Linked DNA regions of Mytilus edulis. The protein of the gene in region 1 purifies or fractionates together with the protein of each later gene. This does not show direct contact. Links are inferred from orthologs where the notes say so. Each region holds a gene or a part of one and is shown in the gene's direction. Other genes may lie near its edges.

What was found.
Region 2: the proteins of transcription initiation factor TFIID subunit 1-like (region 1) and transcription initiation factor TFIID subunit 9-like purify together in Drosophila melanogaster (affinity purification with western blotting; 3 studies listed by BioGRID, with this or other methods). This does not show direct contact. The link is inferred for Mytilus edulis from reciprocal best matches to the Drosophila melanogaster genes Taf1 and Taf9.

Annotation. Positions count from the first base shown.
Region 1 is NC_092351.1:17,065,452-17,083,022, reverse strand, and holds the start of transcription initiation factor TFIID subunit 1-like, read left to right. Parts: upstream 1-9,101; 5' UTR 9,102-9,269; intron 9,270-11,450; 5' UTR 11,451-11,458; coding exon 11,459-11,557; intron 11,558-11,863; coding exon 11,864-11,975; intron 11,976-12,451; coding exon 12,452-12,547; intron 12,548-14,016; coding exon 14,017-14,231; intron 14,232-17,571. UniProt on the Drosophila melanogaster protein: TFIID is a multimeric protein complex that plays a central role in mediating promoter responses to various activators and repressors. Largest component and core scaffold of the complex.
Region 2 is NC_092346.1:100,408,760-100,426,307, reverse strand, and holds the start of transcription initiation factor TFIID subunit 9-like, read left to right. Parts: upstream 1-8,988; 5' UTR 8,989-9,018; coding exon 9,019-9,139; intron 9,140-17,548. UniProt on the Drosophila melanogaster protein: TFIID is a multimeric protein complex that plays a central role in mediating promoter responses to various activators and repressors.

The DNA of each region.
Region 1 (17,571 bases):
GTGTCATGATACTACGACTAGTTGCAACAATACATTCCGTTAAAGCCAAACTTTTCCTCACGCTTTCTGTTTTGATATCAGAAGGAACAGTACAAGTGTTAAACGCCTTTTCGTCTGTAATCCAACTTAGTAGTTTGACCAAAGAATCGGGCATTGACTGTAAAGAATTATCGAATGATACCTCCGTTGAAGTTGGATAGTGCTCTTTACAAAATCTTACTTTGTTAATGTCTCTCCGTATTATACTTGCTACTGAATAAAGGAGTTGTTCATCCGTTTGTTCGTTATTCATACGACTCTTTCGTTTTTCATTTGACCATTTTAACTCTGCTTTCAAATTACTGGCTGCCTTGATTGCATCCCCTAGTGTTATATTGCTACTCATAATAATGTTGGACTTACCCTGACCTTGTTGTGATTGAATGACAACAGAATCACCATAATGGTTTTCCAAATATCGCTGCAGTTTTCTTGTTGTAAAGCTTGTACGCATATTTTCGGGTAGGTATAAAACAAACTTCTCAATTAAAGAGGATAATAGAAATGCTTTTTTATTTTTTAATAAATCATCATTTATGCTGGAGATTAATTTGGAAAAAGCAGTTGTATTTATTGATTCATATTCTGAAGTTGAATTACCAATGACCTCAATATCTTTATTTGAAGACTTTAGATATTTTACAATGCACTGGTTATGGTAAAAAACTTGTTGTTTAAAATTGTCTTGATTAATTTTATGTAGCAAATTTAAATCACCGTTATAGTTTGCAGCGATGGTAATGCGAGTAACCCTGTCATCTGATTCTATTTAAAAAAGTTTTTTGTCTTGCTTGTAGCTTTTCTTATTGCAAAATATACAAGCACTCCAGTTGGTAGGAGAAGACATAGATCGAGTTAAGATACGTGACTGGACTGTCCTGTATTGAACCGCCAGCTAATGCATCATTTTGTCTCTTAGTAAACACTGCAATATTATGTTCACTTGTATACGATTTGTAGCAACTTTTATGATAAACCATTTCAAGACTTTCATTCGGTATATCACTGAATGAATCATACTCACTTATCAAATTCATGTAAATATCATCTTTACGCTTACCAAATGCAGCAAAAAACCTCGATTTACTGTTATTAGTAAATAAAAAGTAAAAACACAAAAATACTGAACTCCGAGGAAAATTCAAAAATCAAAATCAAAAATCAAAAGGCAAAATCAAAAGTTCAAACACATCAAACGAATGGATAACAACTGTCATATTCCTGACTTGGTACAACTGTTTCATTACTGCTTTTCTGGCAAATAATACATTTTTCTAAGACTAAACTTGGTTTCATTCGCTTTGCACAACTAGGGCCACGTTTCAACGGACTTCCTTGTTATGCCATCTTTTGGGGTTTGGCCAGATCTCAATTTCTAAAAATAACTTCCAACGTAAAACCAAATGTTCCTCTTAAATGAATTAAACCTTATTAACACAACCTCAAAATAGAAAACAACAAACAAAATAAACTAAGAAACCAAGAACCTTTAACAAATACAAGTAATATCAAGTGATAATTGCTATTTAGTAATCGAACATATGGTGCGCTTGAAGTTCAAAATCAATAAGGATAACAATAATAGATCTGAGCCGTACCTGACACGACTTTCCGGAAAATTAAGTAAGATTGTAATTCGATAGTGAATATTTTGGATGCTATTTCAAGTCTTTTTGAGAAATTTTATTTGATAAAAAATTATGTCACTGAAAAGAGTATTTTCTGAATTTTCACGTTGTATAAGTTAGTTCATAATTTAAAGATTAATGCGTTCTTGCAAAGTATTGAAATCCGGTGAAGCGACGAAATGTCCAAAGTTTTAAAGCTTTGTATCTTCATATTTTTTTTACAAAAGACTTATGATGTTAGCTTTACTGCTTAATAAATAACATATTATATGTAATATTTAAATCCTATAAGAAATACATATATTTTGCAACGATTTAAAAAAACCGGCCAAAATGGCATGCCTCGTAGAGTTCATATTTTATGTCATTTTTGCTAACAAAACGACAAATTTAAAAAAACTGCACAATACGACTTTTTGACGACCAGTCTAAAATTAAATTAAAATCATTTTTCTAGATATAGACCAATTTTTAGCCGTGTACCATAAAGTGAAATTAAACTCTGTTAATAATCGACTTTTAACTGTTCCGTCACCGCACTAATAAGTTTTACAATAACCATCACTAATATGGTGTCGGAGTCTCAGCTTACTAGCGGTATTTTTCGCGGTCTTGGATTTTTTGATACCATGCAATACCGTCGTCTGGTCTGTTATTTTACCAATTTTGTCATGTTCCCTATTTTGACATTTTAATTGAGTGTAAATTCGCATAATGGGCGATACAAACATAGAGGACCACTTAACAAGACGACGCACCATGTTTCGCTTTCTAGAGTTACCGCGGTTGTTGTTCTTCATCTTGTTTCGTCTCCTCTTAATCGATTTATGAGATTTGAACATCGTTAAACAACTGTTATCATAAATAATATCAGTTTAAAGTCACCTGATACGTATGCAATTTAAAACTGACGGTTGTAGTTATAATGATAATGTTATATCTAGTGTTGTTAACGTTTAATGGGTTAACTGGTTAACTGTCGGAAGAATCGATTATCGAATACCAAAAACGCCTACCAGTTAATCGGATGTCCCCCCTCCCCCAATTCTAATAGATTTGATAAAATGGATATAGAACTCATTAATATGTTTTCAAATGACAGTCTTGCTTTATTAATTTGACAGATCTATAAAATTACACATAAAATTGCTACTATTAATTTTGCTAGTATCACTTCTAATTGCATTGACTGTTCCAATCTAGTTATAAAAACAACTAATTTTATGCGTTTTGTATAAAAATTACATTTAAGTACTATACAGTCAAAAATAGACAAGAAAATTGAAGGAAAAAAAAATTATGAATCATAAAACACACTGTTTTCCATATATTTGGTACATATACAGATCACGAAAGGAACAATCACTTTTTCTTAACTACCCTGTTCCAAGTCAGGAAAATGGCCGTTATTATATTATAGTTCGTTTCTGTGTGTGTTACATTGTAGTGTTGTGTTTCTGTTGTGTTCAAGTTCTCCTCTTATATTTGATGTGTTTCCTCAGTTTAAGTTTGTAACCCGGATTTTTTTTTCTCAATCGATTTATGAATTTCAAACAGCGGTATACTACTGTTGCCTTTATTTATTTATTTATTTACATTAAATCGCTTCTAGTTCACAACCTACTGATATTCTACTTTCTGCAATCTTGTACCCCTTGTCCTCGCAGTCAAAACCCACTTTCTACTCAACAATTCTCTGTGGCTGCCTTCGATCCAGACGTGCGTTTCGTCTACATAAGACTCATCAGTGACGCTCATATCAAAATATTTATAAAGCCAAACAATTACAAAGTTGAAGAGCATTGAGGATCCAAAATTCCAAAAAGTTGTGCCAAATACGGCTAAGGAAATCTATGCCTGGAATAAGAAAATCCTTAGTTTTTCGAAAAATTTAAACTTTTGTTTACAGGAAATTTATAAAAAAAAAATGACCACATTATTGATATTCATGTCAACACCGAAGTGAAATTATCTCTTTGGTCTTTAGAGTAGTCTGATATGTATTCCATGATATACCATAAAGCTGTTAAATAATGCTCCTGTTCTATATCTGTTTCCATATAGTCACTGCTTGTGTGTGTGGTTAATGTTATCGGTAGTACATTTGTATATTTTGTTTTTCTTCCTTTTTGATGGTTCAAATGTTTGGAAATCAAGACAAAATATATCCATCGATTTTTACGATGTTTTTTTTAAAGGCACAAGATGTATTTCCTTCTTTTAGTATATCTCGCCTTGGTGTATCCTCTCGTTTATGACTGCGGATATGGATGGCCATCTTTGTATGTCGCGCACTAAAGAACTAGAGTGTTCGCGGCCAGGATAATACATCTCACATGTAGTACTTAAAAACCACATGAACATGAGTTGCTGGTTAAACTATTTGACTGATATATCCGTCATCGATGCCTATCTCTCAGTATGATTACATTATCTATAATCGTAAGCTGATCAAAGTGTCTTTGCAATATACTAGGTGGTAGTTGTTCTTTTATCAGTTCCATATCAGACTTTACAAGTTCACAAACTGTCGAATTTCAGAATCCTACCGCTGCTACTGTTCCCAGTTAATAGAATCTACATTCTGCATATGCATTACAATGCTACTTGTATCCAACAACATACGGTGCTGATATAGCTAATTTAATGTCCTCGATGGATTCCTTAGATATAAAAACTTATAAAAAAAAATACCTGGCTCATAATTTTGTAAACTAACATATATATGGTTTTCGCATCTAGTTTATGAAATCGTGACAATGCATATGCTTCTGAGTTTTGCTTTACTGAAAAGGCAACAGTAGTATACCCCTTTTCAAAAGTCATAAATCGATTGAAAGAAAATAAATCCGGATTGCAAACAAAACCCGAGGGAGACACATCAACCACAAGAAGAAAACAACGGAACAACAGAAACACTGCACGATATAGAACGTCGATATTGCATGCAGCTAACGTTTATAGCCCCCTGTTGCCTTTCGAATCTAGATTTTCAGTGGTCAAAACATATGTGAGCGGGTTGTTATCTGTAAACACACCATAGGATTTCAAAAGACATTATGATACAAATTGCCTTTACTGTCTATTCCGAAGCCAAGTTTTAAGTATGTGGGTTGGGTTATGTCTTTAAACCATGTGCATGCAATCTTCGACGACTGAAAACGCAATGACCAGTTGCTAACCCTCAGGTTCCTGATTTAGCACTTCTTCTACTCATATACTACTAGCTTCTGTGTGCAACTAAATTGACTTCTGTTGGTTTGATCCGAGTCTTTTATCTAGTTCGTTAAATGCTGTTTCCCATGTTTCGCCCATGCCAATGATTTCTGTTGTATCTTTTTCTGATTTAATGCGTTTGTATTAAAATTACAAACGGTCTGGTTGTCTGTCAAACAATTTGTAATTCTTTTGTGCGAAGCAAAGCATATACATCTTACATGTTCGTGTTGTTCAATGAGCGAAAATCCACCTCGCGTACTGAAACCAAGTTGAACTTAACAAGGAAGGTTTATAACAGATCTATGATAGCCAATATCGAGATTGATTGACATTAGTGAGATTTATAAATGTTTTAAATGTATTATTAGACAATTCTTTCTGTAAAATTAATATAATGCTGAACAACCGACTAAATGCTTTAATTTTCATAAAGGTTTATTCTGAACTCTTAGATCAAGTATTGCTGGTATTAGATTCATTTTCATTGATCATAAATGATGTTAATTTGTCTTTTTACTGGGTAGTATCTAATATAATACAAGACGTAAGTAAATGCTCTGCAGAAACTATACTTATATTTTACATTTACAGTGACAACAATCGGCTTAGTAACATCTAAATTTATGTCTCACTCGAGTGGATGACAAACGATTTTGATTTTGTTGATATTTTAATTGGATGTTGTAGTTTTCCTTCAACCTTGATATGAACAAGCTGTGATTTGCTACTTGTTTGATACTAGGAGATCAAAAGTTCTTTAAAAAGGCATAGTCTGTAATCGGATATAATTATATAGCTCTTCTCAAGTTTCCTACGTTTATATCCTTGACTTTCAAATTTTGACTTTGAGCGTTCCTGAGCAAGGTTAATCCAGAAATAATTGCGCCTCGGACGCATAAAATTTATTTCAGAAGTCAGTGCTTCTGTACTTACAAATCTGTCTTAATTTCTCCCTTCATTGTTCATAAATGCATTTGTGAAACTTCGGTTCCAACTCATTCGTGCATTGTTTACCTTAGATAGATGTGACTACTATTATAGGTCCTTTTTGTCATATAGCTCTACAAAAGTTCGGGTGTTATACATCCTGGACTTTCAAATGTTTGGCTTTGAGTGTTCCTGGTAAAATGTAAATGCTGAAAAGCGCGTCGGACGCATAAAGTAGTTTGAGTGTTTTTTTACTTCATTTTTTAAAGGCGGATTAATTTATACTGCTATCTCGAGCTCGCATCGTGAAATAGCGGGACGTAATAGTTATTTGCTTCAATTTGATAATTTTGAGACAGATTGATAATTTATGAGTTACTGGGGATTCATTATTATTCGTTGGATACCAATTTTCCTGGATTTCCTGGGTACAGGTGAACCACGAATTTAAAAGTTCAATAAACTGGAAATATTTTATAGGGTTGTAAGCAGACATTGGCAAAACAAAGAAATCAAATATCAGGGAAAATGCAGATTCTCATCAATCCGCGAAAATTAGTACCCACGAAAATAAATGTATTCACAGTAGACTGCTTGTTAAAATAAAGATAAATATATGAGATGTATTCTGTTATTTGAAATGTTTTAAAAAACAACAAATATATTTAAGCGTTCAACTCAACTTTTTTTTAAGCCATTTAAAGATTTAAGGGGAGATAATTCTTGTATTGGGGGCATATTGTTTTACCCCTGTCCGTCCGTTCTTCTGTCTGTCCGTCCGTCCCATTGTGGGTATATAGTAATTTAGCATAACTCCTCCTACAGTTTGAATCCTAGGAAGTTTTCACTTTGGTGTCTCTTTGTACATATATATTGTGTTCAGTGTTTTACTTTTTTTATTAATATTTGCTCTTTTGGGTGACAGTTGAACTTTGTTATTTTTATGGTATATGCGGATTAATGCTATAGTTTTTTTTTTTAAATAACTCTTTGCATCTGCGGGGACATCAATTGTGTCTCTCGGACACAGAAATATCTCAAAGAAAGTCCTACATTTATTTTGTTAATAATAATACAGTTACTTCTGCAGGGCCGTAACTACATGGATGCAACTGAGGCAAATGCCTCATGCTGAAAATTAAAAAAAAATATATCAAATTGTTTTCATGGCAAGTGTCTTGCAAGAAGCAAGTTCTCTTCACTCTCTGGTGTCGCCCCTGCATGTTTCTCGGGATCCATATTTCTATTTTGCTTTTCGTTTTCAGTGTTGATGGTCTATTGTTTGTACTTATGTATCTTACTAGTATCTGTACCCAGGTTTGTATTTTGTTCATTTATTGTCCTACTTTTTGATTATAGTCTAAGTGTTGATTTTCATTAGTAAATGTGTGTTTTGGCAATGTTGCATTTCCATCGATGTCCAGAAGGTGCGAGGAAATAATTTAAGAAGATACGATGCTATTGGACACAGAAAATTGGTCGACGTTTCTTCAAGGAGAATTGAAATTTATAAAAAAAAAATATATACAAAACTGGCTCTTTTTTGTAGATAAAACTAGAAAGCTGACATGTTTAAAATTTAAATTAAAGTAAGACCACACATCTCCCGGTATAAAAATAAATTCAGTGAAAAAAACAACAATGTATTGCCATATGATCTTTTACCTTGAAGTATTAAACTTGCGTTACCTTAAGTCGTGTTCAGAAACTTTAAAATAAAATAAAGGAAATGGAATAATCGTAAACGGGACTTAATCGCACACAAAGTCAATGCATAGAAAAAATACAAATCATCAATGGTCAGGGTTTTTATTCCTGTTCTTCATCATGATAGTCGCTGGAGGGCCTTTGACAATGAAAGACTAATTAAAACCAAAAACAAGGTCAAGATGGTCCCTAGTGTCGACTTAAGCAGTACTAGTACTTGAAGTATAATACTGCACTGTCACTATATTTAAATCTAGTTATAAAAAAATATCACCAAAGTCTAAACACAATACAAGACAAAAATACAAATTCGGTATTAATGATTATGATAATTTCGAGTTTTGGTTTTTTCCTACATATCGATCTTTTTATGTTGTCCCTAAAACCTAAAAGTCTGAAATTACAACATGTACAATGAATCTATATATTATTTGCTTTCATACCAGAATATTGTCGAAAAAAATAGCTAAAAATTAATTGCGTTTCAATGTAAGAAAGAGCCCGGGAAACTCTCACAATTTTTCGCGATTATATTTTGCCTCACTTTTAAAAGAGGCTGGTTACGGCCCTGTTCTGAGTGGAGTGCGAGGGCATCACTTTGTCTAGTCGTATATTATTTCAAAACTCTATCTCATAGATTTCTTTCAATTTACAGAAAAGTTTTTTACATGTATAATTTATGCAAAATAGTAGTGCTTATTGTGGAAGTGTTGTTGTACTTGTGGAATTTGATAAAATTGCTCTCCGATATATATATTGCTATTATTTGAGTAGCTTTTTTATGTATATGGTCCAACTCGTATGGGTATGACATCTATGGTATTATGGACCATAAGCGTATGGTCATAGTTGTCTGCGTATGTATTTTTATGGTCCAACCACTGCTGCGCTCCTTGCCTTTCAATACTGGGTAAACATTGTACTTAATAAAAGTATGGACAATATTTAATTTTGGAAGCTGGAATATAAAACTTTTCAAGGCATATATGTGCCAGTGGTAATTATCAAATGTGGGTAATTAGGCCAAATCCGTTTACGGTCAACTTCTTGGTAATGAAATGGTGTACGCACTAATTTATGAAGGCACCGGCTACGATTTTATGAATACGGTATTTTCTAACAAAATGTATATATTTTTTTATCGATATATGGTATCAGCTGGTTACCGTATTAAACAATTCAGATAATTATTCAATACCGACGTCTACACCTACACCTATCCGGCCTACGGGTAACGTTTTAAAGAAGGGATTATCTCAACGACCACAGGCATTAATAATGTTTTTTTTATTATCAAATTTTAGATACTGTATAAAGCTTTTAATTTTGAATGGTTTTTTTATTTTGTCTTTAAAATTGTATTTTAAGGAATATCGACAAACAAAGTGTTTTGCATAAATTTTTTTTTATTTTCAACTATTTAATTTTTTTTTTTTTACTTTTGCTATTTTATTGTCCAGTGTATTTTTGTATGGTCAGTGAATGTATGATACTATCGGTGTCTGATTACCGGTGACAAGCGAATTCCATTTATTTAATTACACTAATAACACGGATTTCAGACAGTCTTTTTCCGAAATTGGTTTTAGATTTTTATCGTCTCACAGATGGCGCCATCGACATCCGTCAATATTCAATACATCAAATACATGAAAATAGCTGTTTGCAATTAACTAGTACAATTTAAACACCGACAGGCACATTTACAAATTAAAAACATTAGTGATGTAACATTTTGAAACAAAGAAAGTAAGTTTGTCTTTAAGATACGAATGCTATTATCATTAAAACGTTCAATCTTTACCTTCTTGATGTTTATGACATCTTACACCAAAAATATAGAATTATTGGTCTTTATTTACTTTAAATTATGAGTCTCAACTGTAAATAACTTTACTGAACTTACCTAATCCTAAAACTAGCCCTAAACTGTTTAGAAAAAAACCCTAACCATAGTGGACAGGGATCCTTTGGTAAAAGCAGCTACTGAGTACTGTCAGTGTCATGACTGTAAATTCAGAAATTATTGCATGCATTTATTATTGTCATCAATGGTAATTTTGGACTTAAATGGGATTTAATTTTTTTTGCTATATTGAGAAAAATCCTGTTTAAATTATTACACAGCTTCTGTAGCTGTTTAGTACAAGTAATCTTGATGTACAGTTCTAAAGATGCATCAAATGTTCATCTAACAAACGTTGCCAAAAAGGCAAACTCAACCCTAGGCTTCCTCAGAAGAAATTTACGATACTGCCCACAGGAATGTAAGAAAACTGCTTACATTTCCTTAAGTAAGATCTACAATGGAATATGCAGCAACAGTATGAGACCCCTACAGTATTACAGACTCAAACAAGCTAGAACGAGTACAAAGACAAGCAGCACGCTTTATAACAGGCGATTACAGAACTAGAGAAGATGGCTGCATAACAAACATGCTTACAAAATTAGAACTACAAGAGCTACAATTGAGACGCACAAGCCAAAAGCTTATATTTATGTACAAGGTGGTTGAGGGGCTGGTACCTGCTATTGATCCAGACGACTTCCTCAAATCAGCAAGACCAAGACGAAACATCACAGCTAAAAAGTTTGACAACTATCAAGCCACAAACATTGTTGAAAAACAAGTGAGGAACAATACCAGGTGTTTTGACATTCCTACTAGTAAAACACTGCAACATTCAAATTCATTCTTTGTGTCCACAATAGTAAATTGGAACCATCTAGAAGACACTATTGTTCGCGCAACAAGTGTGGAGAGCTTTAAATCTGCTCTCGCGAAACGTCTATAAATCGACGGCGCCTTCACTCTCCTTGTATAAAAGCCAGAATTGGTAGCTACAACGTACCTATACAGATACATCTGTAAAGCTGTATTTAAACTCTACTATAAAGCTGCATATAAGCTTTACATCTGTAAAGCTGTAGATAAACTGTAAATCTGTTAAGCTGTATTTAAACTGTACATCTGTAAAACTGTATATAAACTGTACAGTTTTAAAGTTGTATATAAATTGCAACTCTGTAAAAATGTACATTAACTGCACATTTGTAAATCTGTGTATAAGCTAAACATATAGTTTCTACCAGTGCATCTTGTGTGATACGATATCTATCCACATTTTATATATAGTTTTACAGATTTACAGTTTATATACAGCTTTACAGATGTACAGTTGATAAACAGCTTTACAGATGTACAGATTATATACAGCTTTACAGATGTACATTTTTAGAACTGTACATCAAGATTACTTGTTCTAAAGTAGCTGTGTATGACTATAGTATAACCCTGTCACATTTTTCGCAATAATAAAAACCTCGCAATAATTTCTGAATGTACAGCATATGTATCATAAATACATTTTTTGTAACTGCAAGTTTGTGACATTTCAGCATTTCTACTTTACTCTTGACATCATGCATAAGTATTTATTATCAGCAACATGCTACTTTAAAAAATGTTGACCTGATATTTTTCATTGCATTTTCGATAATATTCACATAATCAAGAGAAGTTATGTATGTTTATTTATATTATTATCTGCTTTAAGGTCTATTTTCTCAATTACTTTTTTTTCCCATTGTGAGAATACTTTGTTCATTTAAGGACATGTTTCATTGCATTTTTCTGTAGGCTCAGCTTGGTTTTTTTTACTCCTTGTTCTTTCAAGCTTGGTTTCTAATACATTTTAATTGTTTCCTAATCACTGAATTTATGATGTAGTAATTAGCTACAGCAGCTGCCCTCTTTTGTTCACCTTCAGTTTCTAATGGCTGCTAACCATGTCACACATCATTTTGGTCTCGTCAAATCAAAACACATTAGGGCTGGCAATATTTCAGTTTTTGAAAAAAGGAATATATTTTTTCTCATCATACTGAAGTCATATCTGAATTATGTATTATTAAACTATTTTACAGCCTCCATCATGGATGATGATGATGAGGACAAGTCTATTTCTCTCACTGGGTTTCTGTTTGGTAACATTGACACCAAAGGAGAGCTTGATGAAGATTTTCTAGATGAGGTAAGATGTATCTGCATGTAATCAGTCCACCATTCGTAAAGCAAAAGGTCATGTATATGTAGTGTTTCTGTCTGTGTTGAAAATATTAAGTGATTTTTTGTTTCTTCTTGGAACCATTTCCTTTCTCAGTAATGACTTGCTTAAGCATTTGAAGTTTGAAACAACTATTGCAGTATATGTCTCTTGTTTAGTTGTTTATCATGTAAAAATTTGCAAGATTGACTAATAAGTCTTACTCTTGTAGATACATAGTTTGTCAGTGAATTGCTATTTTAGAAATAATGGAAATTTTCCTTTTTCTTGTAGGAATCAAAGAGACATCTTGGATCCCTTGAACTTCTTGGTGGTATTGGGTCCATGGTGAAAGAGATCACTGATTCAGAAGACGGAGACAGAAGTGATTCACTAGATGGAGCAGGTAATCAAGGAATAACAGTGCTGTATTGAGTATTTGCTGTTGTCAATTAGGGATTTGCTAATTTAGTTACAATGGCTTCAAAGAGTGAAATTACATTAATTACATGAATGATTTTTGCAAACTGATAGTTCATTTACTTTGATAAATATATTTCTATCTATAAACTACTTTAGAATATCTACACATGATTGATGCTTTGATAAAAAAAAATACATTTGTAATCTGTGAGCAGCAATAAGGGGGCAATAAAACAACACAAGATATACTACCATACAGTCAGAAAAATGGATAAGTGCCAACCCAATATATATATATTTTAATGTTATAGATCTTATCTGACTTTATTTACAGTTTACACCTACATTAACACACAAGCCAGTGACACATTAGAGCATAATCTTGTTGATTCAATATAAACAGATCCTTGTGTCAATTTGCAGAAGTTTGATATAAAGTTGTAAAATGTATATTTTCAGATAACTATAGTAACAAAGCCTCTACAGCAGTGGACTACTCTGATATAAATGAGACTGTAGAAGAGGACGAAGAACAGCGATCATTTGCATTTGTTGGTTTGTATGATGTCTTTGTATATATGGTCACAATGCATGCTCTGTGGAAGTTTTTTTTTTTCAAAATCATTTGGTTGATTTATTATTGCTGTATAACACACATCTTCATATACGGTATTCACATTCCCATAAAGTGGCCTCTGTGTCCGATAGGTCTAAGTTGTTCATCTAAAATATCTACTTACCTGTCAATAACAAGTATCGGTAAAAATATTCTGAAGTCCATGAACATCATTAATTTAAATATTTATAGATTATATTTATTGTTGATACGAGATTGATTTTCTCACTTGAGCCGGGATGGGGAAACCGAGAAAAGCAATTGAATTGAGATGGCCAATGATGATCTGTTTATCGCTATTTTACCTATGGCAACATTGTCAATTTCATGTCAATTTCATTAGCAAAACCATGTGACTCCTAAGTTTCTAGCAATAATTTTCCATCTCAAGCGAGTAGCATGATATAAAAAATTATCACAAAAAAAGCTCTATGGAAAAATACACAAAATGGCGATAATACTGAGTCTTTGACTCTTAAAAATTCAATTTTATGATAGTTAGCAGGCGAAATGCACTCTAATTTTTAGTTTATCTATTGCTCTGGCATGTTTTTTCCCCGTATACAATCTGATATAAAGATTTTAAGAGTGTTAAGTATTGATTGTAAAATAAGTTTTGTACATTTATGTTAACAGTATTACATATAACTTTGGAAACTTAAATCCTTTAGTATTTCTAAAATAAAGAGTAATTGTATTTTAATTTGGTTGCTGCCATAACATTTAATTAGTAAATACCTGTATAAAGAGTTTTCAAGGGAAGTAACTGTTTATATACATGTACTGACATAAAACCTTATACACATCCATTGTTTTCAAAGAGAATTTTGCATAAAGGTCAGTAAAAGCAAGATTTTTTGATTGCTTAATGGCTAGCAGTTCCATTATAAAATAGATGAGGATACCTGTGCTTTGTTGTCTCTGAATAATTCTTTGCAAAAAGAACACTAGTATATTCAAGTTTTATCATTAATTGTATTACTATTGCTGCAGTGTTTTAAATCCTGTGGAATACCCATGAGGGTTTGGACAGTTCAATTTTTTTACATTTAGTTCAAAACTACATTTTTAATTTAAGTACTTTTATAATTACAGACTGATCAAATCAATCAATTATGTAAAAAAAAATACCTATGATTTATAAAACTGTCAAATGTTAAATTTTATCTGAACCTCAACTATTTATATCATTTATAAATGGGAATTGTGATTTGTTATTTATCATTTAATTTTCTAATTTATTTAATATAGTATATTTAAAAGACTCCAGACCAGCACTTCATACTGCCCAGTATTACCTAGTTAAATCCCCAAAAGATATTTGCAGCCATAGATAGTTTATATAAGTTGAGTTGAACCATCAAATAATGCTGTAATTTTACAGACATGTTCTTTTTTTTTTTTATAGGAAATGAAACAGGTGAATATGAAGATAAAGATTCTAGACTTATGCCACCTCCATCATGGCTGCCAAAAACTCCTAAGGCTGAGGATGAGGCTGGATTTACCTCCCCTGATAAAAACTCTGCCAACAAGTATCATACACCACTTGCTTCACTGAGACCACCAGAGTTATCCAATGTAGATGTTACTGAACTATTCCCAGAATTCAGACCAGGCCAGGTAAGATACAGATATATAGGTACCAGTGCTAAATCACTCTGAGAAGTCGAGAACTTGTCAGTCAGGTCAATCTTATTTGAAAATTATCTTTGAAATTATGCATATTAATATGTATTGAAATCAATGCTGTTTCCATCATCAAGGCTTAATTTTACAGCTTTTTCTAGAACTCTATAAAATAATGACAAACATTGCAGTTATTTTTCTAAGAGGTCAAAATAAATGCTTACTTCATTGTTATAACATATCTTATGCTATATACAGAAGGTGGATGGTGAGGTAAGAGTGTGTCATTTTCTTTGGTCTTTGGACTAAGATTGAATGCTAAGTCTCAAGTCTCTGGGTTATGTTTGTTTTAGAAGGGTTTCTGTTGACAATCACACTTTCTTATTTTGCGAAAAATAGCATTGTTGCGAACATGATTTATTCTTTAACAAATATTGTTTTTCTAAGGAAAATCGACCTTGGGAAACCCTGTAATATGTATGAAGGATTTTTTTTAAACTTACAAAAAAGGACCTGATTCATATGTTCAAAAATAATTGCATTAATAGTACAAACACATCTATGGTAACTAATGTTTTAGAAATGTACTTTTCAAGACTCCTTTGACGATTTATATGCCTCATTTTGCCAAACTTATTGTCAATTTTTACTGACCAAGACTTGAAAACAAATCTGTTCATTTCTATTTTATATATCGTAAAACTGCTTGCTTTGGGGGGTTACTGTACTGTCTTTTCTTCTCTAATTGTGGGATGTATGTTGGATTAATTTGTTTCAGTTTTCCATCGCATGCATGATAACATGTTAAATTATTTGACATATATTTGGATTTAAAAATTCCACAATATGAAGCTATTTCAGAACTCATATTGAGTGAGTCAGTTCATAATTGAAAAGTAAAATCACAAAAATACTGAGCTGAGAGGAAAATCTTAATTGGAAAGTCTATAATCACATGGCAAAATCAAATAACAAAACACATCAAAAACGAATGGACAAGAACTGTCATATTCCTGACTTGGTACATGCATCTCCAAATGTAGAAAATGGTGGATTAAACCTGGTTTTATAGCGCTAACCCTCTCACTTTGATGACAGTCTCATCAAATTCCGTTATATTTACAATGATGTGTGAACTAAACAGATATAATAAATAAAATAGTCAAAGTATAGGTACAGCAGTCATCATCGTGTAACAATTTTAAAAGGAACAATTTAACAGAACACAAAAACATCTATGTACAAACTCATTCATTGATTCGCGTGTCTGACGTCAGAAAATTTTATACGTCACATATATTTGTCGTTCAATGTACATACAAACTATTTTAAAATTTCACATAGGCAATGTTAGCATACAGGGTTAAAAAATCAAAAGTATGTAAGAATTAATTTCAGAAATAGACAGAGATTTGAAATAGTCCTAAAGTTATATAGAATTTATAAGAATCCACAAATAGTTCATTCCACTACGCGATTGAATAATTTTGAGGTTGTGGTCCAACGTTTTTTGTAATTCATATTAAAAATGTATCATAATGACATAAAATAGAACAATATTATACTGACGGGATCTTTTAAAGTACAGAGTCACGTAATAGAACCAACGAAATACAAAAAGTTATATACAAAACACACCAGCAAAAAATGAAAGACAATACAAACACACCAACGGGATGTTTAAGTACCGAGCCAACATTTAAATTGACCAGTTGGTATTGTTAGATTTAAATCTACCTTGATGCTACCTGTAAAAAATTTTATTCACCTAACCCAAAGTTTCAGCATGCTTTTTTCCTGAACTTTTTCTTACCTAGGATTCTTCTATTGAGAGATTTTTATTTTACTGTCATCGAAAATATTAGGAGTTATCAAGCCAAACAAGAATGACTATATCATATATGTTATTTTCTTGCAGTTTATTTAAAATTGCATGGCCTAAAATGCACTACATTTCATCTTAATGTTTGCATAGCCACTACTAGCAGTGTTTAATACCCTAAATAATCCAGTTGTAATATTTCACTCACTTTATGAAACATCAAAATCATATTTGAATAAACAATTTCATTTATTTTTTTACACTGATATTTGACATCTCATCCAGAATTCCAAAGTTTTTAAATAATTCCCAATTTTATTCATTTTTCACTTCTTCACCAGATTTTTTTCTAAATCCATAGTATAAATTCTGATTAACTTCCCATGATATACATCCTAATTTAACAGGTGCAGAATCTATATAATTCAGAATCTTGTAAATTTTTTTTATCATTTCCATTACTATATTCCAAATAGTTATCCTCACTTTACAAATATTTTGTAATATTTTATTTATATTTTTACTACATATCACTTGATTTTTCTATATCCACAGTAAACATTTTATTTCATTTCCTATTATAAATTTCCAAATCAAACAATATTTGATCCAGAATTTTATAATGACTATTTCCAATTTCACATTCACTTAAAACATTTCCCCACGTTAGGAATATTTTAGAATATTTTACTTTCATTTTACACTTTATCACTAGATTAGACTATATCCACGGCATTAATTCAACATTTAATTTCATTTCCAAGATCCCATTTAAATGGTAAATCATCTTAAGTTTGTAATAGATCCCAAATTAATAATGAATGTTTTTAAAATCACATTTAAAGCCACAGAAACATGTTGGATGAACTCACACTATATCTCCTACTTGAATTCCAGTTTTGAAATTTTTTAATCTTTAACATAACTAAATCCCATCGTATGAAAATTTGAATTTCCTTGAGCAAACACAGCATTTTATGCACAAAAGTCCCACTAATATTATAATAGATTTCAAAGAAAAAACACAGCAAGGTATACTCCAAACTTATTTTTGAATTTTACATGTACAACATCATATGTAAGCCCCACAAAACAGTTTGAATGAATTATTTCCTCCTTGATGTCCTTCATGACAATAAAATCTTGAAAAAAACACATCACATTTTAAGAAGCAAAATTGCTATAAAAAATCTAAGAAGTGAATTCAAATAAAATAAATCCAATATTGTATGCACAATGACACCAAAAGATTTCAAACATTGCAAATAATAATCCAAAATGAGAATCTTGAAGGGACATGTGAAGAAATGAACAACATATCCATCTGAAAATTTAAACTGTAAACACCTGAACAGCTATTTCTTGTTTCACTGGCAGCTGGACAATACTATATATAAGGGTTAGAATTTTAAAGAAGCATTTAGTGTGTAAAAACAGTTTAATTTTCAAACATAGTAATACATATTTAATTTAATCTTTTACTGATTTAGAATTTTAGGTAAAAAATAGATA
Region 2 (17,548 bases), on another chromosome or scaffold:
GCATTACACACTAATCGAGTGTACCAAACCAAAGGTGCACCGCCTTCACCGCCTAGATCAGTCGACGGCGGGGAGCAACTTGAGTTAGCTGAAACCAAGCTAACCTCTGTTAGTTCAACTTGCACAGATATATCCAAAGACGGCAACAGTAGTAAATCGTGTGCCAAGATACTTCCAGTGAATGTCTTTCACAAAGATAATCAGGACAAAGTAATTCGCATGTATGCAATTATTGACGACCAAAGCAACCGGTCTCTCGTGGCTCATGAATTCTTCAGCCTATTCAACGTACAGGCAGAAACAAAAGACTATTTGTTATCCACATGCTCCGGCAGCAAGGTTACTTCCGGTAAACGAGGAAACGGCTTCGTCGTGAAGTCTGTACAAGACAATACTAGATTCAATCTGCCTGAACTGATTGAATGCGATAACATTCCCAATAATCGGAACGAAATTGCTACACCTGAGGATATATTGCAATATCAACTTGCAAGAACTACAAAAACATATTCTCCCGATTGATGGAAAATGCAAAATCCTATTGCTCATTGGAAGAGACCTTATAGAGACACATCATGTCCTTGATCAACGTCTAGGACCACCAAAGGCTCCATTTGCGCAAAAGTTAAACCTGGGTTGGATTATCGTTGGAGAAATACGCTCCGATAAGCAACATGTTCACCTTGAACTCACTACAAAGGAAACAAATCCAACTCGCAGTGTTGTGAAACCACATACAAAGAAATTACCTGAGCGTAATAAAACCAACACCCAACTAAATGACATTCAAACTGATTCGTTCTGAAAACATTATCCCCGTTTACATGGGCAACCGAAAACGACTTCTATCGTCAGATTTGCAGAAGCCGAAAAGTTCACTTCGGAAGCAACGCCACCAAAAGTGAATGCCAACAAAGAAAAGTACATCCGAAAACATTCAATTCCCAAGGAAAGCTTCAATTCGCTTTTGGATACGCAAGGACAAGAGGAAAGCAGAATAGACAATTCCAACTTAAGTCACAGAGAAAAGGAACATGGCACCGGATGGTTTACTGTATGCCGTAAACGTAAAGGGAAAGCGTCCGTCTTGCAAGACGTCCTCGTTGGATCGCATATCCGTGTCGAAAGGAAATTCTTCAATTAGAACTACAGCCATGGAGTTGGATCTTAGATCGCCGCGATCTCGTCGGAAACACCGCCTTATCTAGGATAGAAGCTGTGAAATACTCAGCCTCCCGTTGGACTACTTCAAAGTAAAACTTTGGACTGTTGTTATATATATATATATATAGCATTTTATTTGTTTTTGATAATGGAATAGTGATGTCAGATAGACCTCAGACGGGGAGTGTTCTGCAAATTCATTCATTATTTATTCTTCATGTGATCATCATTTTATATTTTTAACGTTTCATTGCGTACATCGCTTTATGTGCGCCAGTTTTAGGAGTTTTATAAAGGACAGTGTAGGAATCCGCGTTACTTTCCCCTCTCTTCTAATGACGTAAACTGCTCAGTGAGTCGTGTGCACAACTGCAAAGAACATTCAGCGGACACGTCCAAAAGAACAATTCGTGGCTAACCACAGCGTTAGTTACCTTTAAAACATTACAAATTATGTCTTCACATTAGCGATGAACTGTTTTAATATATTTCTCTATGTTATACAGAAACTATGAACATTTTACCGTTCAAACTGTTCGTATCTGCGATTACACGATTTAATTCAAGACAGAACCCGACGTGTGCAAGAATATTCATATTTTTATTATTATAAAGAACTTTAACAGCTTTATATATCTACGAACTCTCTATCCGTATTTTTAATGGACTTTAATTATCATTGAACACATTGTAAAATTGTATTTATATTTCTATTTTCAGTTTTTCACCATTTGGATTGGTAGTGAAATAAAAGTCAGCTCCTGATTGTTTTATCTTTACTTAAAGGTGTCAGACCACCAATTACTCCCTCCAATGTAGAACGTAAAAGTAGCCCTACTCTGACACAAAATAGTGCTTTTGATGTCCTTGTTTACTTAAACTAGTAACCAACAACTTTGCAGAAATGAAACTTTTGGTGAAAGAGAAATATATCTAGATCATTTTGAGCCAAAATTTACTTGTCTATGACTTTGCATTAAAAATTGAGGATTAATGCGCTCCATAGTATACTAATTTTAGATTTCAAGAAAACCAGGTTTTTGTTTTGGAGTACCTCTGTTTGATAGTCAGTTACTTTGTTAGAAGGCTTTAAAGGTATGGTGAGAATTGGCATGTAGAAAGCTGATACATGTACAATTAAGGATATACCTGGTTTCTATGAAGTTAAACTTAAGGTAAAATATTTAGAAAGCTGTGAAAATTGCAAAATTTGGTTGAACAGATAGGGATTTTTAATTGGTGGTCTGACACCTAAACCCAGTCGTCTTGGTTACACTCACTGGTCAGGCCAGTACAGACATGCTCGCCAAACTGGAACTTCAAGAACTAAAAGCCAGACGCACTAGCCAAAAATTATATTTTTGTACAAGGTGGTTGAGGGATTGGTACCTGCTATCGATCCAGACGACTTTTTAAAAATCAGCCATACCAAGACGAACCATCACAGCGAAAATGTTTGAAAATAACAGGGCAACAAACATAGTGGAAAAACGTGTGAGGAACAATACTAGGTGCTTTGACATTCCCACCAGTAAAACTTAGCAATACTCAAACTCATTCTTTGTGTCCACAGTTATTAACCAGTGCACGACAAGTTAAAAATACTGTAAACAAAAAACACACTTGTATTTATAAGAACGAAAACAAATAACATTTTGTGATGTTTGTAACTTGTGACAACTGTACAGGGTTAAATGTTATTATCCAAAGTTACATTAGAAATTGGATCCATGGCACTTTCAGGTAGTTGGTTCAAGTCAGCAATATGTATTATAATATATATGAGATATCTTATAAAGTATATACGATATATTTGATACTATTATAAGATATCGTATTTACTGAGATACTATGATAAGATATATATACTATATACGATATGATATATAAGATATCTAATAAATTATTTAAGATATTTCATATAATTAGTATAATTAAGAAATCTTATATATTATATAAGCTATCTTGAAATTCTAATAAATAGTAATACGGTTTGCCATATTCAAGTCTTGTAAGAAAAAAGCCAATAATTAATGGTACCACGATTTCCCGAGAAATACGAGAAAAACGTTATATTCCCAAAACAAACTGATATATCCCGAGAAAAAGATTTTTAATGGTGTTATAGGTGATATACTGGTTAAATTCGTGTTACAGCATACAATAATCAGGTTTAAGGCGTTCGTTATTAATAAAAGTACACGCAACCTTCAGAAAATCTTTTTTTTTATGTCTTGAATGCAAATTCCTTGTTAAAAACAATATGACAGACGTTATATCTCTTTAACATTTTTGTCATACTTTTATTTCAAATATAGAATTCTTTACATCCATGAGTTTGATTCCTCTTTATTTTGTGAAAATTATTTTATTTAAGAAATTTTAAAACTACAAACGTACCCTGCACAAGGCACGGGCATACTTTATGAAGTCCGCGAAAATTATTTATTAAATTCTTTATTAACTTTGATCCTTACGGCTCATCAGTATAAATAAGTACATGTACAGTGTATACATATGTATGGCATATTACACACAATATAAACAATATGCATAATAAACAATAGGTGACGTCAGAAGTTTAATCAATACAAAATATCTTTTATTACAATAAACTGTTTCTTAATTTAAAAGAGAAATGTATATACTTTCCTAAGTTACAAAGCTGTTTTGTGTTTTCACCTGACAATAATTCTATTAATTTAAAAGTTGAAGGCATAGACCAGTAATATTTTTTTATATATTTTTTTCGCAAATCAGTATATATATACTACATTTGAGGAAGAAATGAAATTCATCCTCTATTAATACTCCTAAATAACAAAAAGACCAGTACAATATCTTTCATTTCTATTAGTACCAACATAACGTCCAGTTTCAATACAAAGATTATGTGAAGACAAACGAATCCTTGTTATACATTTACGAAAAAGTACAGGAATGCATTTCTGTAAATAAAACCACATACTTATATAATCTACACTTTGCAGAGGAATCTAATAAAAATTGTAACTCTTGGTTGGCTTATCAAACAAACGCTGTCTTATCAAAGGTAAATATGAGCTTTTCTACATTTAACAACCACTGATTATCCCACAAATTATTCATTCCAAGACTATATATCAATCTTTTTACATATGTTACCCAATTCATACATTTTGAACAATTTAACACAAGTTCTCTATTACAAGACCTTAATATACAGTTGTCACTAATTAAAATTTTGAACCAAATTTAAGTATTCTTTAATTACGCTCATACTGCAGTGGAAATCTACCTAATTCAAAATAGACCATCACATTTGAGGTATTTTGACACAACATTTTGCAGTAATCCAAATGGACCTTTTCTACCATAAGAGACTTGTGTACTCCCCATATCTCACACCAATACATTAAAGTCATAAGAAACGAGTGACCGGTGAAAAATAATGTTCGTCCAATTCTTGAACTAATGCATACAAACATCCTAAACTTCGTCTTCTGTGCTCGAATTTATCATTTTTTTCGTGTAAATTTCGTATAATTGTCAATTTTTTTTCTCAATCGGTCAGTGTTGTTGTGAAAATATGGCAGGTAATTAAAGTTCGTGTTTTGAAGCCGAAGTGTAACGATTGTCACCTGTATGTCAACAATTGACGAAAAATAAACAAAAAAGCATGGAAATTGAGCACGTGTTTAACATGTAAATTCAGATAATAGTTTATTTTAAGGACATCCATGCGTATTGTGGTCACCGGATTTTTACGAGATGGGTCACACTGAGGTCACCTTGCATACGGAAAATATGTCGGGGGAATAGCTTGCTGGAAGGAAGCTATTCAAATAAAGTAAACTTCTTCTAAATATGAATAAATTAAAGAATTTTCTTCAGAAAAAAGTATATGTACATAAGTTTTATAATGAAAACTATCCATTGAGTTATAAAAATCATATGCATTATTTTTTTTTGATTTGAGGTTTCTTATGACTTTAATATACTACTAACATAAGTATCAAATAGACTAAGCATTGTAAATACCTTTAAACATAATGATGATGTAGTTCTCCTCATACTGAACATAGCTTTTCTACCTTGTTCTGCACAATGTTTCTGTGTAGTAAGAAATTTACAATTCTAGGGTGTTAAAACACCTAAATAACAAAATTGATCCACAATGTCCATTGTTTGACCATTATAGACCCATGTCTCATTTATCAAAATTTGGATTCTTCACCATCCATTAAATTTGAATTTACATCATTGCAATGCATAGAAAAGTCAGTTTTTATCATTTTGGTCTTTTGTGGATAGTAGTCTCATTGGCAATCATACCACATCTTCTTTTTTTATATTTAATAGAACATGTATGGGAGCATGGTCACTGTATGTAGTAACATTACTTGTAATAAATTTTAAAACTTTTTCAATGTTATTTGGCTTAGCTAATAAGTAGTCGATCACACTCATACCTCCTGGACCACTGTATGTAAAATCATTCGATAGTCCATCAGGGTGGCGCCCATTTATAATTCTAAGTCCACTGCTCTTACACAAGTTAAGTAGTTTTGTTCCATAGTCGTTGGTTCCTGCATCTGGGTTATTACGGCAAGAAAAAGCCTCATCAGCAACATATGTAAACAGATCACCAACCCTATCTAAAATACTATCATGTAATTTATCATTTTGTACATAATCATTCATATTAGCTGTTCTAGCATTTCAATCGCCAATAACAAAAATATTTGGACATTCAGCTGAGTAATGTATCATTTGAGACTCAAGCTCATAAAATAAATCCCATTTATGAATCCTGTAAAAGGATGAGTTGTGTGGTGGTATATACAGATTTGCAATTAAATAGTCACTTTCACATCCAGTCAGTTCTTTATCCAAAGTAAATACAGATACAGATACATATTTAAATAAAGTTTATTCATTGTTATTATGTCTCTGGACAGGTCTTTGTTTTTGTTTTTTGAATGATGCTTTCTAATGTATTATAATTATAAATTTATTTGTTTGTCATTGCTTGAACCTCCTGTGTGATTTTTTTGTAATACAAACTGTAATTAATAGTATTAAAATGTTATGGACCTCAATTGGAAATGAAAAATAAACAAAAAAGCATGGAAATTGAGCACGTGTTTAACATGTAAATTCAGATAATAGTTTATTTTAAGGACATCCATGCGTATTGTGGTCACCGGATTTTTACGAGATGGGTCACACTGAGGTCACCTTGCATACGGAAAATATGTCGGGGGAATAGCTTGCTGGAAGGAAGCTATTCAAATAAAGTAAACTTCTTCTAAATATGAATAAATTAAAGAATTTTCTTCAGAAAAAAGTATATGTACATAAGTTTTATAATGAAAACTATCCATTGAGTTATAAAAATCATATGCATTATTTTTTTTTGATTTGAGGTTTCTTATGACTTTAATATACTACTAACATAAGTATCAAATAGACTAAGCATTGTAAATACCTTTAAACATAATGATGATGTAGTTCTCCTCATACTGAACATAGCTTTTCTACCTTGTTCTGCACAATGTTTCTGTGTAGTAAGAAATTTACAATTCTAGGGTGTTAAAACACCTAAATAACAAAATTGATCCACAATGTCCATTGTTTGACCATTATAGACCCATGTCTCATTTATCAAAATTTGGATTCTTCACCATCCATTAAATTTGAATTTACATCATTGCAATGCATAGAAAAGTCAGTTTTTATCATTTTGGTCTTTTGTGGATAGTAGTCTCATTGGCAATCATACCACATCTTCTTTTTTTATATTTAATAGAACATGTATGGGAGCATGGTCACTGTATGTAGTAACATTACTTGTAATAAATTTTAAAACTTTTTCAATGTTATTTGGCTTAGCTAATAAGTAGTCGATCACACTCATACCTCCTGGACCACTGTATGTAAAATCATTCGATAGTCCATCAGGGTGGCGCCCATTTATAATTCTAAGTCCACTGCTCTTACACAAGTTAAGTAGTTTTGTTCCATAGTCGTTGGTTCCTGCATCTGGGTTATTACGGCAAGAAAAAGCCTCATCAGCAACATATGTAAACAGATCACCAACCCTATCTAAAATACTATCATGTAATTTATCATTTTGTACATAATCATTCATATTAGCTGTTCTAGCATTTCAATCGCCAATAACAAAAATATTTGGACATTCAGCTGAGTAATGTATCATTTGAGACTCAAGCTCATAAAATAAATCCCATTTATGAATCCTGTAAAAGGATGAGTTGTGTGGTGGTATATACAGATTTGCAATTAAATAGTCACTTTCACATCCAGTCAGTTCTTTATCCAAAGTAAATACAGATACAGATACATATTTAAATAAAGTTTATTCATTGTTATTATGTCTCTGGACAGGTCTTTGTTTTTGTTTTTTGAATGATGCTTTCTAATGTATTATAATTATAAATTTATTTGTTTGTCATTGCTTGAACCTCCTGTGTGATTTTTTTGTAATACAGACTGTAATTAATAGTATTAAAATGTTATGGACCTCAATTGGAAATGAATTAATTATCTTATCTCTAGGCTTTAGAATATACATGTCATAAGTGGATCGGTGCGGGACGTTTGCGCTTTTTCATAGTATGATTTGTGCTTTTTATTTTGGACACTTGCGCTTCAAATTATAGGACATTTGCGCTTTTTAAAAACGCACATTTGCGCTTTGTACATAGGACATTTGCGCTTTTGCAATATTTGTTTTGTATGACTATCCTCCTCTTTTATCCGGGCTTGGGACCGGCAGGCTTGACCGTGAAGAGTTGGTCATATTGTTCTTTGTGATTGAAAAGTTTAAAAATCGTTTCATAGCACATATCATAGCACATTGATATATGCTTTAAAGTTTATATACAGCTAAAAGTATATATTATAAAGACATAAAAACCCGTAAAGTCATCACAGGTCAGTTTTTAGTTATTGCAATGACACAATCATCAGTACATCAGTACATTTTATACACGGATATTTCATTTCCTCTGACATTTTGGAAGAAAATCGTAAATTACTTGTTATATGCAAATGTTACTAAAATAATACCAAGCCATTGTCTTCATATTTTTTTTTATGAACAAAATTTGAGAAAATTTTGTATTTTGTATTAAAACAACACCAAGCTTTAGTTTAAAAGGAGATATTTAGAGAAAATTGTACAGTAATAACCGCATTTAATCTTTCATAAGAAAATAATATAATTACTAAAATTTGGAAACATGTTATTTCAGTTAAAAACTTTGACGAATCATAATTCATTTCATTAACAATAACGATATTTTTAACAACAATCAGTTTTTCATATGAATGTAAAATAAAAGAAATTATTCGGTAAGCTTAAATACCCGAATGAAGTTATGATAACGTTGTATTAACTTTTTATAATTTCATTTTTTTAATTGAATCTATTCTTTCAGTACTTATGATACTTTTCTATTCTTCCAGTTCTTTTAAAACTTAAGTTGTCTACCTTTAGAATGTCCGCCATATTGTGTTCAACAAGGATTTTGCATACAAGACATACAAATCGATTTTTTTTTAAATGAAATTACACTTTTATTGAGAAAAAAAATGAGTAATATCTTTAATTAATATTCTTTAATATTGTTAAAAGTAGTATAAAACAATAAAAAGTAGCATAACACCATAAAAAATCTTTTTCTCGGGATATATCAGTTTGTTTTGGGGGTATAATGTTGGTGTTTTTTTTTTGTATTTCTCGGGAAATCGTGGTACCGAATTATTTATAAAGAAAAACTTGAATTGGATGTAACCCGGAAATAAATCCGCAACCGATTTTTTTATTTAGTTTACACTATATCAAAAATGGCCGCTCCAGCAAAAAGTTTGCCGAGAGATGCTCAAATTATGACTGCTATTTTGAAAGATCTTGGTGTTACTGAACATGAGCCACGAGTCATTAATCAAATGCTTGAATTTGTTTACAGTAATTTTTTACCATTCTTTATTTTGCTTGAAAATGTTTTTTGTTGTGTGGTTCTACATTCAATTTTTGCTATGATCATGCTATATCGGCTTCGTCAATTACATAAGAATGTATCCAAAATAACCACATTAGCTGCCACAGCTGCTTATAAGCTAGTCCAAATAATTATGACGTCTGGCAAGGCTATTTTTTTTTTTTTTTTGGGACGCCTACTTATACATTTTATAAGCGAGATGTGCATTTAAATAACCACATACACAGGAACATTTCCCAAATTTAAATGCACTTGTAAATGAAGGCCTGTCCCATTCCTTCCACAGACAAGGGGGCATTTTGCTGTTGTAGAAAAATAATCCCGGGCCCCCATAAAATAGCTTTTTATCTTTTTATCTTAAAACAATGCCAAAGCATGCATGGAGGGGTGATGCTCAGGTGCTGCTTTGGCTCCCAAAAAGTTTGAGCCAGAAAAATCACCAGCTCCTTATTTGTCGCCAGTTTTGAAAACTTGGAGCAAACTTTGGAACCAGCTAGAGTCTTTATTTCTTCTACCAAAATTTAAACAATGTTCAATTTAAATTCCTTATGCACTCAGCCTGAACATTACATCATCTAAAATGTAATACTAAGTAAGTTATTGCATCTAGGGTTTATATACATAAAACAAAACAACATGTGTATTGTTGTAAATGGGCAAATGGTGAATGAATGAATATGTGTGATATATATATACATGTATACGAGTTACCTTTTAGTCGGGAGTATTCAACCAACTAGGTTATCCATCAGGTTTCTAGTTCTAAGTATACGTCTAGACACAGAGGTTGTTTGCAAGTAACTCATTCAAATCGTCAGGTTCCCACTATCAGCTGATCTGTATTTACGGTTTCCGGTATGACCAACAAGACCAAATACCAACTTTATCAATACAACAGTATTTTATTTTGTTATGTCAGTATTTTATATATGTAGAAGAATATAAATTAGTGTATGGTACATGTATGTATATTCTACAGAATAGAGAAAATGTCTTTAAATTTAAAAATAAAGTATAGAACAAATGGATAATTGAATAAATAAAATAAAATAAGAGGTGTTAAAGTTTGTATTAAAAAAAAGAATACAGAAAAAGATGACACCAGTGTAAGAAAGTGCATATTTTATTGTCATGCAACAAAAATTACCGTTAAAGGTCATCTAGCAAGAATTTTTTAATCAGGCCAAAAAAAAATATATGACTTTAGGTTACATCATCAAAATTAATAGGGTAGGTAGGTCGGTATTTCGATTTTATTATTTTTTTCCATTTAATTTTTTACGCCATGATTTTGAGTTGTGTGGTCCGAGTTGTCCATGGGCTGAGTTAATCCGTATTTTTAATGATTGGATTATTTCCCTTGGTTATTGGTTGGAAAAAAATAGTGGCAAAGTTTTTATTTCATTTCATAAGTTGTGAGTTTCCTTAAAACAGCTGTCATATTCATGATTGTGAACATTTGGATGTATCAGGCAATTGATTAAATTTATTGGCACCCCTTACGTCGCTATTGACTCAAGTTCTATTAATTTTTCACTTTACGTCGGAAATAAAATGGCATAGGGTCAGCGCTAAAATTAGAGTCGGTCAGGTAACCGTAAACAGAGATATATTTTTGTTTGGCCTCATGAAGGTACCCACATTACCACCCTTGAACATGTTGAAGAGGAGTCCACTTGTTTTTAATAATAAAAAAGAAATAAGTCCATGAATATTACAAAATTCTATCACTTGAAATGTACCTCTCATAAATGAATTAGCCATTAATATATTGAGGGGTTATTGACTTTGATCAGGAATAAAAAAAAGATGTATGATTAATATAAAAAAGAATGTTGTGATATATCAATCCTCTTCCTATACATCTATATATAGCTAGACAATGTAGAATAAACTAACACACAGCAATATGCCAGATACGCTTAGTAAAACTAAGTCCCAGAGAGGTTTGAGTCCAATGTCAGACATATAGGCAAAAAATAAACATAGCATTGAAGATGCAGATTAACAAAGCACTTACAGCAGTTACTGACAATGTGATATGCCAGCTCCAGACTTCAATTTAACTGATTATATTTCTTAATCATATGAAATCAAGCAAAATCCCTCCCGTAAGGTGTTGAGTATCATATCATAAAATATAGGAAACAAGAATGTGTCCAGAGTACACCGATGCCACGTGTACGCACGCACACTAGCACTATCATTTTCCATGTTCAATGGACCAAGAAATTGGATAAAAAATATAATTAGGCATTAAAATTAGAAAGATAATATCATAGGGAACATGTGTACTAAGTTTCAAGTTGATTGGACTTCAACTTCATCAAAAACTACCTTGACCAAAAACTTTAACCTGAAACATGCACTTTCGTTTTCTATGTTCAGTGGAGCGTGAAATTGGGGTCAAAAGTTTAATTTGGCTTTAAAATTAGAAAGATCATATCATAAGGAACATGTGTACTAAGTTTCAAGTTGATTGAACTTCAACTTCATTAAAAACTAACTTGACCAAAAACTTTAACCTGAAGCGAGACAGACGGACGAACGAACAGACGGACGAACGAACAGACAGACAGACGAACAGATGCACAGACCAGAAAACATAATGCCACTCTACTATCGTAGGTGGGGCATAAAAACCTGTATCATGCTAAAAGCTGGTGTTAGAAAACCAGTAAATTTGTTTATTTACTATGCAAAGACCTTATGAATGAATAAATATCAATACCAAAATATGCCATCTCTAATGACCTGACAATATGTACAGTATCATAACTATATCCCTTCTGAATAAGTCTTTTGGTTAGCTTTATGGGTGAATGCTGACAATTTTGTGCTTTGTATTGAATAGTACATTGTACCATAAAAGATTGGATGTGAAATACTTGAACGTATAACATGCCTGCATGTTGATTTATGTTTATGAATGATGTCCTTGTACTGATGATACAATTTAGTAAATGCTTTGACAAGTTTGTGATACCTAAAACCCTGCTGTAAATTTTTTCAGTAATACAGAGATTTCTTTACTTAAAAAAAATAGTAGGACATTTGATGGTGTTTGAGTAATCTTCATTGCATTAAATCAGAATTGCATCTCTATAAAGACAACAAAATACCTGTTAACTATCAATACATGTATACATTTTAAGAAGGGCAATGAAATATAATTAGGAGCAACATTCAAATTTAGGGCCATTTATATGTCTTGGTAAACATGTATAAATTGAAATACATTTTATACATACATGTAGTGCCAATATCTGAAATGTTTGAGTTCATTGAAATTATTCATAGAGGCCAAACAATGGATCTTTTTTCAAATACAGCATGAACATTAAATAACAAACAAAATTAAAAAAACCTGACAATAATACTATACACATGTACTATAAACAGCAAAATAATTATTGCTGATATCATAGCTGAGGCTTTTCAAATTTATCTCCCTGGCTAAACTATTTTCGAATACACAAGTTATCTCCCTTACTACATACATTGCATCAATGAAAATTCAAACTAAGAAGACAATACAGTTAATATAAAGTAAATTAATAATGTTATGAAATATATATTTTTTTAAGACTGATTCACATTCATACATGGACATGGACATCTGGTTAACAGCCAAAATACCTACTGATTCACATTCATACATGGACATGGACATCTGGTTAACAGCCAAAATACCTACTTTATAATGCCATGATAAAAGGTTTTGAAATTGTTATAACCAGAATGAAGTGCCTGTTCCTAAATTTTCTAGATTTTTGAGTACAATTGTTCTCCAGATAAATCTCTGTGAGACAGTTAGCAAAATTACAAATAATAATGCTAAATGGATTAAATTTTGTCATAAAGGTCAACATATCATAATAATATTTAGAAGCAAATTATCATTGGAACAAACCAACATGATAACTCTAAAAAGTTATTATACCCCACGCAACGAAGTTGCGGAGGGTATAATGTTTTTGACCCGTCCGTCCGTCAGTCCTGTTTCTTGTCATCACAACTCCTCTCAAACCACACAACAGAATTTTACGAAACCTTTTCAGATAATAAGGACATACTATGTAGTTGTGCATATCGACGGGAAATTGCGATTACATTTTTTTTCTAGGAGCTACACCCCTTTGAACTTATTTACTTTAATGTACTACTGTAACAGTTTGTCTCCGCAACTCCTCTCAAACCACACAACAGAATTTCACGAAATCTTTTTATATGAAAAGGACATATTATGTAGTTGTGCATATCGACAGGAAATCACGATTCAATTTTTTTTCTAGGAGTTGCACCTCTTTGAACTTATTTGCTTTAAGGTACTACTTCAACAGTTTGTCATCTCAACTCCTCTGAAACCACACCACAGAATTTCATGAAACTTTGTAGATAATAAGGACATACTACGTAGATGTAAAATTGAGAAAGGAAATGGTGAATATGTCAAAGCGACAACCACCCGACCATAGAGCAAACAACAGCCGAAGGCAACCAATGGGTCTTCAATGTAGCGAGAATTCCCGCACCCGTAGGTGTCCTTCAGCTGGCCCCTAAAATATGCATAATAGTACAGTGATAATGGACGTCATACTAAACTCCGAATTATACACAAGAAACTAAAATTTAAAATCATACAAGACTAACAAAGGCCAGAGGCTCCTGACTTGGGACAGGCGCAAAATTGCGGCGGGGTTAAACATGTTTATGAGATCTCAACCCTCCCCCTATACCTCTAGCCAATGTAGAAAAGTAAAAGAATAACAATACGCACATTAAAATTCAGTTCAAGAGAAGTCCGAGTCTGATGTCAAAAGATGTAACAAAAGAAAATAAATAAAATGACAATAATACATAAATAACAACAGACTACTAGCAGTTAACTGACATGCCAGCTCCAGACCTCAATTAAACTGATTGAAAGATTATGTCTTCATCATATGAATATCAGGTACAATCCCTCCCGTTAGGGGTTTAGTATCATACTATCATAAAATATATGAGAAGAACATAACCCGTGTCATGCCAACAACTGTTTTTTTAGAAATAAATGTGTTTAGTTCCGATGCAAAGACCCTATCAGTGAATCAATGTTAAAGCCAAAATATGCAATCTTTAATGACCTGACAACAGTATCGTAACTATATCCCCTTTTAATAAGTCTATTTAAAGGTTTTGTTAGTTTCTGAGGAGAATACTGACATTTTTGTGCTTTATAAAGAATATTTCCATAAAATTTTGGATGTGAAATACCTGAACGTATAAGATGTCTGCATGTTGAGTTATATTTACGAATTATTTCCTGTGCATATCAACAGGAAATTACGATTCAATTTTTTTTCTAGGAGTTATGCCCCTTTGAACTTATTTGCTTCAATGTACTTCTGCAACAGTTTGTCATCTCAACTCCTTTGAAAACACACAACAGAATTTCATGAAATTTTGTAGATAATGAGGACATACTATGTAGATGTGTATATTGACAGGAAATTATTATTCAGTATTTTTTCTTATACAATTTTTTTTTCTTAAACTTATTTAATTTCTCCAATGACAATGTGGGGACGTGGGGTATGTGAGCACTAAGGTTCTTTAATTTTTTTAAAATTTAAATCATGTACATCATGTACATGTAAATAGAAAAAAATTGATTGATTAAAAATATTTGAAGTAGGACAGAGATCTGCTGGAACCCCTAGACTCCTTTATTGTCATCAGAAAAAAAAAAACAGAAACCATATGTTGTATAAATTAAAAATATGTATCATTATCTTTGACATACATGTATGAGAGCAACCTTTGTCTTGCAATTATATTCTTCAATGTATCAAACTATTTAAGCTTTATAACTTACATTTTGTACTACATGTATGACAATCATGTGCAAATGAAAAAAGAAATTCATTAAAAAAAAATGATGTATCGACCAATGACTGAAATGAGTGATAATTAAATCACTTGTTCTAGCAGTATCCCTGAATGTTTACTGTTAATGAGTTATAACACTTAGATTTGGACCTTTAAATTTTGATAAGGTGATAATGAAATGAATACTTACCAAAATCTATTCAGATTTTAAAACAATATTCATGATATTATGAAACATAAAATGCAGATCACATTCAGTTTGAATTTTGGTGAAATGCATTTCCAGTTAAAAGTTTTCTGTCGGTGCAAATGTGAGTAGCACTGTGAAGGATAATTTTATGGTCACTGTACATGTCTCTCCTTTAGTCCCATTTTCAAAATAAACTGACAGCTTGATAGAAAGCTTGCATTCAATGTACATGACAGTAAATTCCAATAAATTTTCCTCACATTCCCTTGACCCTGCTATACATTATATTGGTTTAAAAAAAAATATGGGAATTGTGGAAATTTGACCATTTTCTTATTGTATTGTACATGCTGTAATTAAAGCAATGGCATCTTGGGTACTCTAAGTAACTCCTGGAGACTGTTTGACAGAAAGCTCACGAACTTGATAGGATTGTAGATTTTGTAGTTGGCCATATATATATATAATATCATTATTTAGATCCTGTCATGTGTACAGGAGTTATGGGCTCCTCAGATAATGTTTTACAGAAATCTCAAATTGTAAGAAAAAGAATATGTGGTGTGATTGCCAATGCAAATATTCCATTATCTAACTGACACACAACTTTATCTATAGTGTTAACTATAAACTTTTTCTTACATTCATTTTGACATTGTAATTGTCAAAAAGTTGATATGAAAATTTGGGGACTGAGGAGGCAATACATATACTAATAAACGAGAAGACCTCGTTTTGTGTGTCGCTTCTCTTCCTTCCACACTAAATTAATCATCATGCCTCTGTGTCCTATAGGTACCATTTATAGTCCCATTTGTCATCCATTCTTATGATTATTCAGTTTGGGTTATTTTGGGAGAAAAACGGAAAAAAAATGCGTGTGAATATTTTTCCATCATTGGAAGAAATTTTAAGTCATACTAGACATCCGGTTTGCGTTTTTTCTGTACTTTGTACATACCAAAGACTAAATAACGTGTATTTGCTATCTGCTATCATTTCCAAGTTTACTATCCACGGCGGTCACTGAGTTTATTAAATAAAGAGGGTCTATATAATATGTCAATGACTGCCGTGGATCGATTAGAAAATTGAGAGTTGATAGTAAAAAGCAAATACACTTTATTTATAGTAATGTATGTTCATAATATACAGATAAACGGTAACATTATTGAAATCAATAGAAAAAAAATTATAGGAGTTTTGGAGGAAAAAAATAGGAGCCGGGCTAGAAAAACAATTGTCATGTCCCAAAGTACATTTGTACCTAAAACTTTTGATACCTTTTCTGAAATTCTTTAGTCATAAACTCTTTTACAAAAATTCATGGGGTCACTAAGTAATAACTGTATATTAAATAGAGAGAGTCTATATAATATATCAACATACCCGTAGCCAGGGGGGTTCCGGGTGTTCGAAACCCCCTTGAAATCAAATAAGCACTGTTAAAGTCAACGTTTTGTTCATATTGTGACTGTTAAAGTCGAGTTCATGAGTCCAACGAACCCTCCCTTGGAAATTCCTGGCTACGGGCCTGATCAATGACTGCTGTGGATTGATTAGTTAACTGGGAATTGATAGTTAAAAGCAAACACATTTTATTTATAGTAATGTAAATGTATGTTCATAACATACTAAACGTATGTTCATATTGAAATAAATAGAAAACAAAAAATTGGAAATTTTGGGAAAAAAGGAGAAGGGGTTGAACATGTTGAAAAACAATTGATCCTGTCCCCAAGTACCTATAACTTTAGTTACCTTTCCTGAAACTCTCCAGACATTAATTTTTTTTACAAAAATTCATCCTACAACACTTTACATACTTAGCTTTCAACCAGCTTTCGTGGGTGTGTTCTAACATTTATCATACTTGCTTAAAGTATTTCAGTTTGGGTTATTTTGGGAGGAAAACGAAAATATAGACGTCCATTTATTGTTTCTGGCCTGACTTTTTGAGAAATATAAAAGACTTCCGCTGCCCTTTAGGCCTGTTTTGAAATTAAACATAATTTGCAAAAGAACTTGGGACAGAACAATTATTTTTTTGCGTTTTTCTGTATTCTATGATCATACATACAATGTATACTATAGCTTTAGTGTATTTGCTATTTATATATATTATCAATTCCAATAGTTTTCTATTCACGGCGGTCACTGAAATATTTCTGTATACTACATACATATACTATGAATAATTTGTATAAATTTGCTATAATTTACTATAAATTCCTATAATTTACTATAAATTCCTATAATTTACTGGGGTGACTTTTAACATGTTTAATATATATCAGTGACCATTTATATG